2 linked regions of the Ovis aries genome follow. Each later gene encodes a partner of the first gene's protein in a complex. Links are inferred from orthologs where the notes say so. Each region holds a gene or a part of one and is shown on either strand. Other genes may lie near its edges.

Region 1 (3,803 bases):
TCCTAGGAGCCAGGAGTGTGCTGGAGACAGAAGGAGAGGGGCTTCTGCTTTGGCTTGGCTTGGGCTGCCCTCATTACTGCCGCCCAGAATGACCCTTCAGCCTGAGAAGGCACAGCCTGAGATGCCGTTCTGTTCTGCCAGATCTTCCTTCCCTGCCCTGCTCTGGAAGTGCTGGGGCTCTGGGACACTCACCGATCATGATGCCGGAGAAAGCCAGGACGAGGGCGGCTACCAGGGCAGAGGTCACGACGGACAGAATCAGCGAGAGTGGCAGGTGGGGCTCTGGGGTGGGCGACACTGGAAGACAGTCCCCACGGGGCACGAATGACCACATTGATTCTCCTCTGAGCTGCCCCCATGTCAGAAAGACCCCTCCCAGCCCCGGACCCACAGACCGGCAGCCTTCTTGGAGGATGAGGGCAGTTTCATCCTGGTTTTACAACTTCTAACAGCTTTTGTGGAGAGGCACTATGTAACAGGGATAAATATCACAATCTTGACACTGACCTGAAACATCAGCTGCGCATGACAGGATGAGGATGGACAGTGAGCCGATAGGGGCTGTAGAAGCGGTTCAGGTGCCCTGTGTGTGCGTGTGAAGTCGCTTCAGTCGTGTCTGACTCTGTGCGACCCTATGGACTGTAGCGCACCAGGCTCCTCCGTCCACGGAATTCTCCAGGCAAGAATCCTGGAGTGGGCTGCCATGCCCTCCTCCAGGGGATCTTCCTGACCCAGGGATCGAACCCACATCTCTTATGTCTCCTGCACTGGCAGGTGGGTTCTTACCACTAGCACCACCTGGGAAGCCCCTCAGGTGCCTTAGTGAGTGAGTGAAGTCGCTCAGTCGTGCTGACTCTTTGTGACTCCATGGACTGTAGCCTACCAGGCTCCTCCATCCATGGGATTCTCCAGGCAAGAATACTGGAGTGGGTTGCCATTTCCTTCTCCAGGGGATCTTCCTGATCCAGGGATTGAACCCGGGTCTCCCACATTGCAGGCAGACGCTTACCCTCTGAGCCACCAGGGAAGCCATCAGGGGCCTTAGGTGACTACAAACTCAGTTTGACCCAAAGATAGAGTATGCCTGTCAGTTAGACTCAAGGCTGAATTGATGCTCTATCCACGAGAGCACTGGGCCCAGCGCGTGGGAGGGAGAGCTGGGTGCGTGATGGTACTGACCACACCAGGCACCGAGCCTGGTCCTGGACACGGCATTTCAAAAGGGACGTGGACAACTGCAACAACAGGATGGGAAAGAGATATAGACTCATGTCCCATAGACTGGATGGAAATAAACGGGCTGTTTAATCTGGAGGAGACTTGAGGAGGAGGAAGGCAGCATGCTCTTCAGACGCCGTAAAGGGCCACTACAAGCAGGAAGCTGAGGGGTGGAAGTCGGGAGGAGAATGGGTCTGGCTCCGTAACTCCCCAACGGGAGACCCTGTGTCTTAGGAGTACTGAGGTCCTTGGTGCTGGGGTGTCTGGTGGAGATGAGCTGGCCCCTTGGTGGGGATGTGGGGTCGCATCCTGGGCTAGTGGTGGGACCAGGTGACTTATGACTCCTTCCCAAGCCATGACCCACCTTTCGCACACAGGTCCCTTTGCCTGTCGTCCGAGCACCCATGCTGGGGGCAGACAGCAGTGTCAGGAAGTTTACAAAGCTGCGTCTGAGGTGTCCCAGAGCCAGGGAAACTAGCTGTGGCTCAAGCTCTGTGCCCGCCCACCGCCCAGCCCCTTACCAATGCAGGAGACGCCGTCCTCAGCCAGCACGGTCCCGTGGTCGCAGAAGCAGATGATTTTGTGGCTCTCGGGGTCCATGTGGCACTCGTCTACCTCGCAGTGGCTGCAGTTTAGGTAATGCTTAATGTTCACTTCCCCGTGGCCCTCCATCACTGGTGACAAGGAGGAAGGGTCAGCCTCAGGTGGAGGCCACCCTGCACCCCACCCCTGGGCTCTGTGCTTCATCTCCAGCTGCCGGTCCCTCTTCCTACATCCCACTGCCACTGGAAGCACCGCCTGTGCAGGTGGCTCCCTGATGCATCTGGTGAGCGAAACTCAGAGGACCTGTAGGCAGGCGGGAGGGTCCACACTAAGGACCCTTAGATTGGCTGCCACAAAGCACAGGGCCCATTATTGTTGCATTCACCTAGGGCTGACCTGCCTGGAGTCAGTTTTTTGTGAACGTATCAGATCACGCATCCTGATTTCCAGAAAACGTGGTGAGGCGACCACTAGGAAGACTTGCCTGCAAGGGACCCACGATCACACCTGTGAGTCCTGGACTCACTGAGTAGCCCTGGGGTTTCAGCTGGGAGGGAGGGAGCACTGGGAGAGAGCCCAGGGAAGCAGGCTCTGCTACTTGGCAGAGGGGGTACCTTTTAAAGCCGGGGTGTACAGGATGCCCAGCGGATTGATGAAGGAAACCCCGTCCTCCCCGTCCATCTCGGGGTCGTTGTTTGAGGCTGCATTGCCACCTGTGGCAAACCAGAGAAGAGTTTAACGCAGAGAGGTGGGTGCCTGAGTCTGGATACAGGTGCGTATCAGCAGGGTGAGCGGCGGGGTCGGGGAGGGGCCTTGAGGGCGGGGCGGTGGGAGGGAAGGGAGCTCATGGCACACAGGATGCAGCTGGGGCTCGGTTCAGTAGCTGCTGGGTGTGCGGGCCACTGTCTCCTCCAGGGCCACGGTCTCCTCTGCTGCTCTGCTGGGCTCTCCCAGGAAGCAGTCCATGTGATCAAGAGTCAGAAAAGTTCTAGTCTCCCCAGGCTGGGTTGGCCCCTTGGCCCCTCTGCCTGGGGGTGGCTCTCCTGTCCCATCCGGTGAGGGTTGGGGCAGGGGGATGGGCCCCTGTGCCTTTAGGCTCCTGTCCCTCCTTTCAGCAGGGCTTGGGTTATCTTTGGGCTCCCCGCCTTGGGCTCCTCCCACCCGCCCAGGGCTCGGAAAAGAAGAGCATCTGGTTAACACAAGCATCTTACACACAGCCTTAAAGCAAAACACAGACAGCACATCACAGCACGTGCATGCATCGTGTCCTAATCTGGGGGGCGCTGGAGCCATCATCTCCCAGCCTCTCAGCTTCAGAAGGCTCTTTTGCTCTGCTCCGAAGCCCAGAGGAGAGCCAGGGCCAGGGGCCAGCTGCGTGCTGAAGCGCTGGGCTGGGATTGCCCACGGCTGCTCTCAGGAGTAGCCCCCATCAGCATGGGGGATAGTGCCCCTTCTGGAAGCTGGTGGGCTGGGGTAGGGAAGGGAGAGTAGGGAGTCCCTGAGGCCAGAAAGTGCAAACCAGGCCCTCGGGGAGCTGGCTTGGCAAGGACTGTGGCCAGGCCATCCAAAGGGAGGAGTCTGGCCTCCAGGGTTCTCATGCATCCTTGAGGGTGGCTCAGAGAGGAGTCTGGGAAGCCAAGGCCCCTTTATCATCAGCTTTGGGGGAGATCAAGAGTCACTGGGATCTTGATGCTGTCCTGCCGAAACCTCGAGGCAGGATGCTGGCTCGGGAGCCAGCACCCTACCTCTGGCTTGTTTGGCGGGCTGGGAGGAAGGCGTGCATGGTCACATCACAGTCCACACGTGGGGTGGGCCGGGGGCGGGCAGGCGAGGGCTGGGGAGAGGACAGGGGAGGGAGGTGCCTAGGACTAAGAGGGGAGGGAGTGACACCTTGAACACGAATCATCTTTACCTATATATCCTCCGCCTCCTCCACCGGAGGAGCACCCCCCTCCACCCCCTCCGAAACCCCCTCTTGTCTCCCACCCCCACTTCTTCATGGCCTGGGGGCAGGAATGTCCTCCGGTGGCACCTTCCAGCAA
Region 2 (4,291 bases), on another chromosome or scaffold:
AACAGATCCGAGTTCCTGGTAAAGGCGTTTCTTCTCATCCTGTCATAAGTGACAGGAACGGAGCGAAATAGACTGGAGGAGAGAAGGGGGGGTGAAGGGGAGGACGAGGGGGGAGGGAGACGGGAGAGGGGCCGCCGGGGCGGGGGTGCAGGGTGGGCAGGGGGCGGGAGCGGAGCAGGCGGGAAGGGGGTCGGGGAGGCAGGGCAGCGGGGCAGACGGGGAAGGGGGAGACGGGGCGGGGAGACGGGGCGAAGGAGGGGGGCACGCGGGGGGGCCGGCGGGGCGGGGAGACGGGGGGAGATGGGGGCGGTGAAGGGGGTGTCTGACGAAGATCCGCGCGGGGATACGAACACTCCGGCGGCTTCTAATTAAAGACCGGCGCCGGGCCCGGGGGACCCGCCCTGACGTCGGCAGCCGCGGGGATAAGAGGCGCCCCGAGGTCCGAGGCCGGACTCCGCCAGCACGCACCCCAGGCCACTGCGAGTTCCGCGCCCGCAGCTCCGACGCGCCGCGTGCCCTCCCCGCGCGTCCAGTGCGCGCCGCGGCCGGGCGCCGCCGGGCATGGAGTAGGGAGCCGGGCGCCAGCTCCGGGGCGCGGGGACGGACGCCGGAGGACGCGCACGGCTGCGGGGCGCAGGGACGGGCGACCCGGCCGGGCTCCTGCGCGCAGGTGGCCCCGCGGCTGGCGCCGGGCAGGTACGAGCCGGGCTCCCTCCCCGGGGCCAGGGGTTTTCCAGAACCGGGCCCAGCGGGCGTCTGGGGCGAGGGTCTCGTCGCGGGGGCTTTTCGGCGGAGATCGGGGACACCGGGAAGAGGGGGCCGCCTCCACACAAAGGCGCTGCTGGAAACTTGAGCCCGGCCGCCGGGCGGGGCGCCCGCACCCCCGGCTCGCCGGGGTGCGCGGCGGCTCCCTGAGGGAGACGCCTGGGCCCGAGCCCCCGAGCCGCCGCTGGCCCCCTCTCGGCGCCCGCTGGGGACGGAAAGTTGAGGCGCCGCGCCGCGCCGCGGGGCCCCGGCCGATGCGCCATCTCCAGGAAAGTTCGAGGCCGCGGCGGGGCCGAGGCGCGTGCCGCCCGGCGCTGAGGGCGCGCGGCACCCACGGCGCGCTCTCCACGTCCCCGCGAGGGGCCTCGGGGAGGGGGCGTCCGCGTGGGGACCCCGCCCAGCCTCCCGCCCCGGCCCCGCGGCGGCCTTCCCGGTCCGGACGGCGCGGGGCGCCCCTGCACCGGCTCGGCGCGCGTCCTCCGGGGCGCGGGGGCCGAGGCGCGCGGTCCGAGGGGAGGGGCCTCGCCGCCCTCCCTGCCGACCGGCTCTCCGGGTCTCCCCGCACCCTGTCCCTCCAGCGAGCTGAGCTCCGGGAGCGCACCGACCCCACCCGGCCCGGCCGAGCGCAGCGCAGAATGCACGGGCCCGGGCGCCCCCTCCTGCTGGGGATGCTGCTCGTGCTGGGGGCGGCGGGGCCCGGCAGGGGCGGCGCGGAGCCCCGGGAGGCCGCGGACCGACAGACGCTGCTGCGGCTCATCGTGGAGATCGTCCAGGAGCTCAGGAAGTACCACTCGGGGGAGTCCAAGAGGCTGCAGCTCTCGGGCCGGCAGGACTACACCCTGGACCGCAGGGAGGTCGCGGACTACGCTTACCCGGAGGAGCAGAGAGTGGGTGAGTCCCCGCCCGCCCGCTGTGCAGGCGAGCGCCGCCTGCAAAGGCCTCCTGCGCGTGGGGCTGGCCAAGCCCCGCGGGTCTGCCTGTCCTGTATCAGGGGACGCTGGAAGAACCAGGACTTGCTTGGAGATAGAACTCTGAGAACGCATACGTAGTTTTAAAATATAAATGCATTTCTACTGTTTTTTAAAAAAAGCTGGGAAATATTTTTATTTAAAAAAGGAGATAGGAATTCCATGAATGATGCCTGGCAGATAACGTAACTAGCCCTCATCCACATCTAAGACGTGTGAGTTGTTACCCTGGTCGGTAATTTCAGCGTGGAACTGTCATCTGTTATTTTGGAAATGGAAATATTTTCAGCAAAGCGGTTTCAACTGAGACAGACATGTTTCAGAACCCCCCACCCCCATCCCCACAGCAGAGCCTTCCCAGAGTGGCTGCCCTCTGGGAAATTTCCAAGGAAAGCATGCAAGCTTTTAATGCTTTCATGACACAATCAGGTCAAATATGATAAGGTCAATTTTATATAGACTGACTAAACTTAGTTGTAAGGGAAGACTGACATTTAGGAGATGTCTAAACCTTGCAAGCAAGATTCTTATGGAAATTTTCCCTCTTTGAATGAGGAGAATTGGTGGTAGTGTGACCACATGCCATCACATTACTAGTGCAGATCAGGTGAGGAAAAATGAATCCAGATGACTGTTAGAAAGAGCAGAAACAAGGCTGAAAGCAGAGAGGATGTCAGCCAGGCTAGTCACCAGCACCAGCTGGGACTGTGCGGACACAGCTCTCCCTGGGAAATGTACTTTCAGCTCGTCTACCCGGTTATGTCTGAGGGCATGCATTCATACCAGCCTTCACAACAGGTGGTACTGACAGAATCTCACCCTTTTTCTAAGTGAATACCCAGAAGAACACGCCTATAGCAGATTCTGTTTGTTTGTTTGTTTGAAGGATGATATCAGGTTTTCCTCTTAGAACTTTGAGAGACTGTTGAATTTGATTCTCTAGGTCTTCAAGATGGAAGTGTCTAGAGAGATTTATTCACTGGAAGATAACTGTCACACACACACACACACACACACTTCATGGCCCCTGCCTCTCTCCTGATGGTAGAGATCGGTGTTAGCAGCAGATCTTGGAGTGTTGTGAGCCTGATTCGAGGACAATGTGCCCACTCACCCATCCTCATATCGCCGTGTACAGCAATCAAGGGACTGCTTTGATTGCTGTGTATAGAAGAATATCCAGTAATTTTAAACATCCACTTCAGATCACATGAGAAAAGGCTTCTTTTGGTCAAGTTAATAATCAAGTTCTTTTCCCTTAAACAGAAATTGTCCCTCGAGATCTAAGGATGAAAGACAAGTTTCTAAAACATCTTACAGGTAAGCTTGCCCCTCGTTCCTTCCCCTCTCCCCAGGTGTTGGTCTCCCAGGAGCTCTCACTATCTGTTTCTCCTTGCATGCTCCAGGCCCTCTGTATTTCAGCCCAAAGTGCAGCAAACACTTCCACAGACTTTACCACAACACCCGAGACTGCACCATCCCCGCATGTAAGTGACCACATCTGAATCACTGCGTAGAGTAGACGTGAGTACGGGCCCTCCACCTGGGTGAGCAGGCGCCTGCTTGTGTCACCCAGCCTTGCGAACATTTACTCCCTGTTGACTGCAGTCAGGGGCTGGGCTGAGCAGACCACTGAGGATAACGACATGCGCAGCTAGTGCCAGACAGAACACAGTTTACATTTGCTGGAATTAATCAGCTCTTGGAATGGGCTGGACTCTTCCGTGCATTTCTCGAATTCTGGCCTCATGCCTGTCCTTGTATCCACTCAACTCTGACAGTGGAGCAAACGTTTAAAATGAGTTGCTAAAATGACTACTGTGGGGTATAAAGTATCGAGGGATGCCTCTGGACCATTCCCACCACCCTGGCCAAAGACTTCTTGTTTCCACCAGTAATTATGACCTCATCACCCCAGAGTTTTACTGCAATTTCAAAACTTTGCTCTTCTGCTTGGTTTCATCATTCATTCGGAAATGCAGGTGCCCCTCTTCGTGTGGCTCTCAGCTGTAGCTTTCTGGGTTATCTACAACAAAATGTATTTCATTTCCCCCAAAAGTGGCTCCTTGTGCTCTTCACAAAACATGCAATGATGACAAGAAGCTTAGTAGCTAGAGTGACACGTGCTACAGCCCTTAGCCAATTTTTGTGTGTTGTGGGGACCACAACTTCCCTTCCCTTTAAGGCTCACAGGAGGACAGCTGTGCAAATAAGTCAAGCCTCTTAGAAGCAGTTTTCAGGACTGTCCTTAGACTGTCCAGACCTGCCTGTCCTGCTCAAAACAGTAAGCCCCTTTCCAGGAAGGGGAAACTGCTCTGCGTAGGCAGCAGAGCCACTCTGTGGAGCTCTCCCATCCCCAGATGCGGCAGGAAGGCAGGCAGCTCCTCCTGGAGGGAGGGGCAGTGGCCTCGGTCAGCGCGGTCACAGGGACAGAGGCACAAGCGCTGTCTGTGGGCTGCAGGTGCCTGATTGCAGACTCTGCACACTCACCCACAGACCCTCCCCGGGACACCCCGCCACACACACACACTTGCTGCCTCCTCTGCTGACATAACTGA

What was found.
Region 2: the proteins of ALK (region 1) and ALKAL2 are in contact, whole or in part, in a cryo-EM structure (PDB 9G5I), measured with the Homo sapiens proteins. The link is inferred for Ovis aries from reciprocal best matches to the Homo sapiens genes ALK and ALKAL2. Residues at the interface, in NP_004295.2 of Homo sapiens: Leu684, Tyr739, His755, Ser758, Leu760, Phe856, His857, Glu859, Leu965, Tyr966, Thr967, Pro968, Leu970, Lys971, Val972, Met973, Glu974, Glu978, Asn980, Val992, Glu994, Cys995, His996, Met997, Phe1007, Asp1009; in NP_001002919.2 of Homo sapiens: Ser112, Lys113, His114, His116, Arg117, Leu118, His120, Asn121, Thr122, Arg123, Asp124, Arg133, Arg136, Leu137, Arg140, Leu141.

Annotation. Positions count from the first base shown.
Region 1 is NC_056056.1:36,062,851-36,066,653, forward strand, and holds part of ALK (ALK tyrosine kinase receptor), read right to left. Parts: coding exon 3,674-3,803; intron 2,475-3,673; coding exon 2,376-2,474; intron 1,893-2,375; coding exon 1,740-1,892; intron 298-1,739; coding exon 193-297; intron 1-192. UniProt on the Homo sapiens protein: Neuronal receptor tyrosine kinase that is essentially and transiently expressed in specific regions of the central and peripheral nervous systems and plays an important role in the genesis and differentiation of the nervous system.
Region 2 is NC_056055.1:266,363-270,653, reverse strand, and holds the start of ALKAL2 (ALK and LTK ligand 2), read left to right. Parts: upstream 1-1,326; 5' UTR 1,327-1,400; coding exon 1,401-1,656; intron 1,657-2,999; coding exon 3,000-3,053; intron 3,054-3,139; coding exon 3,140-3,220; intron 3,221-4,291. UniProt on the Homo sapiens protein: Cytokine that acts as a physiological ligand for receptor tyrosine kinases LTK and ALK, leading to their activation. Cytokine-binding is sufficient to activate LTK. In contrast, ALKAL2-driven activation of ALK is coupled with heparin-binding to ALK.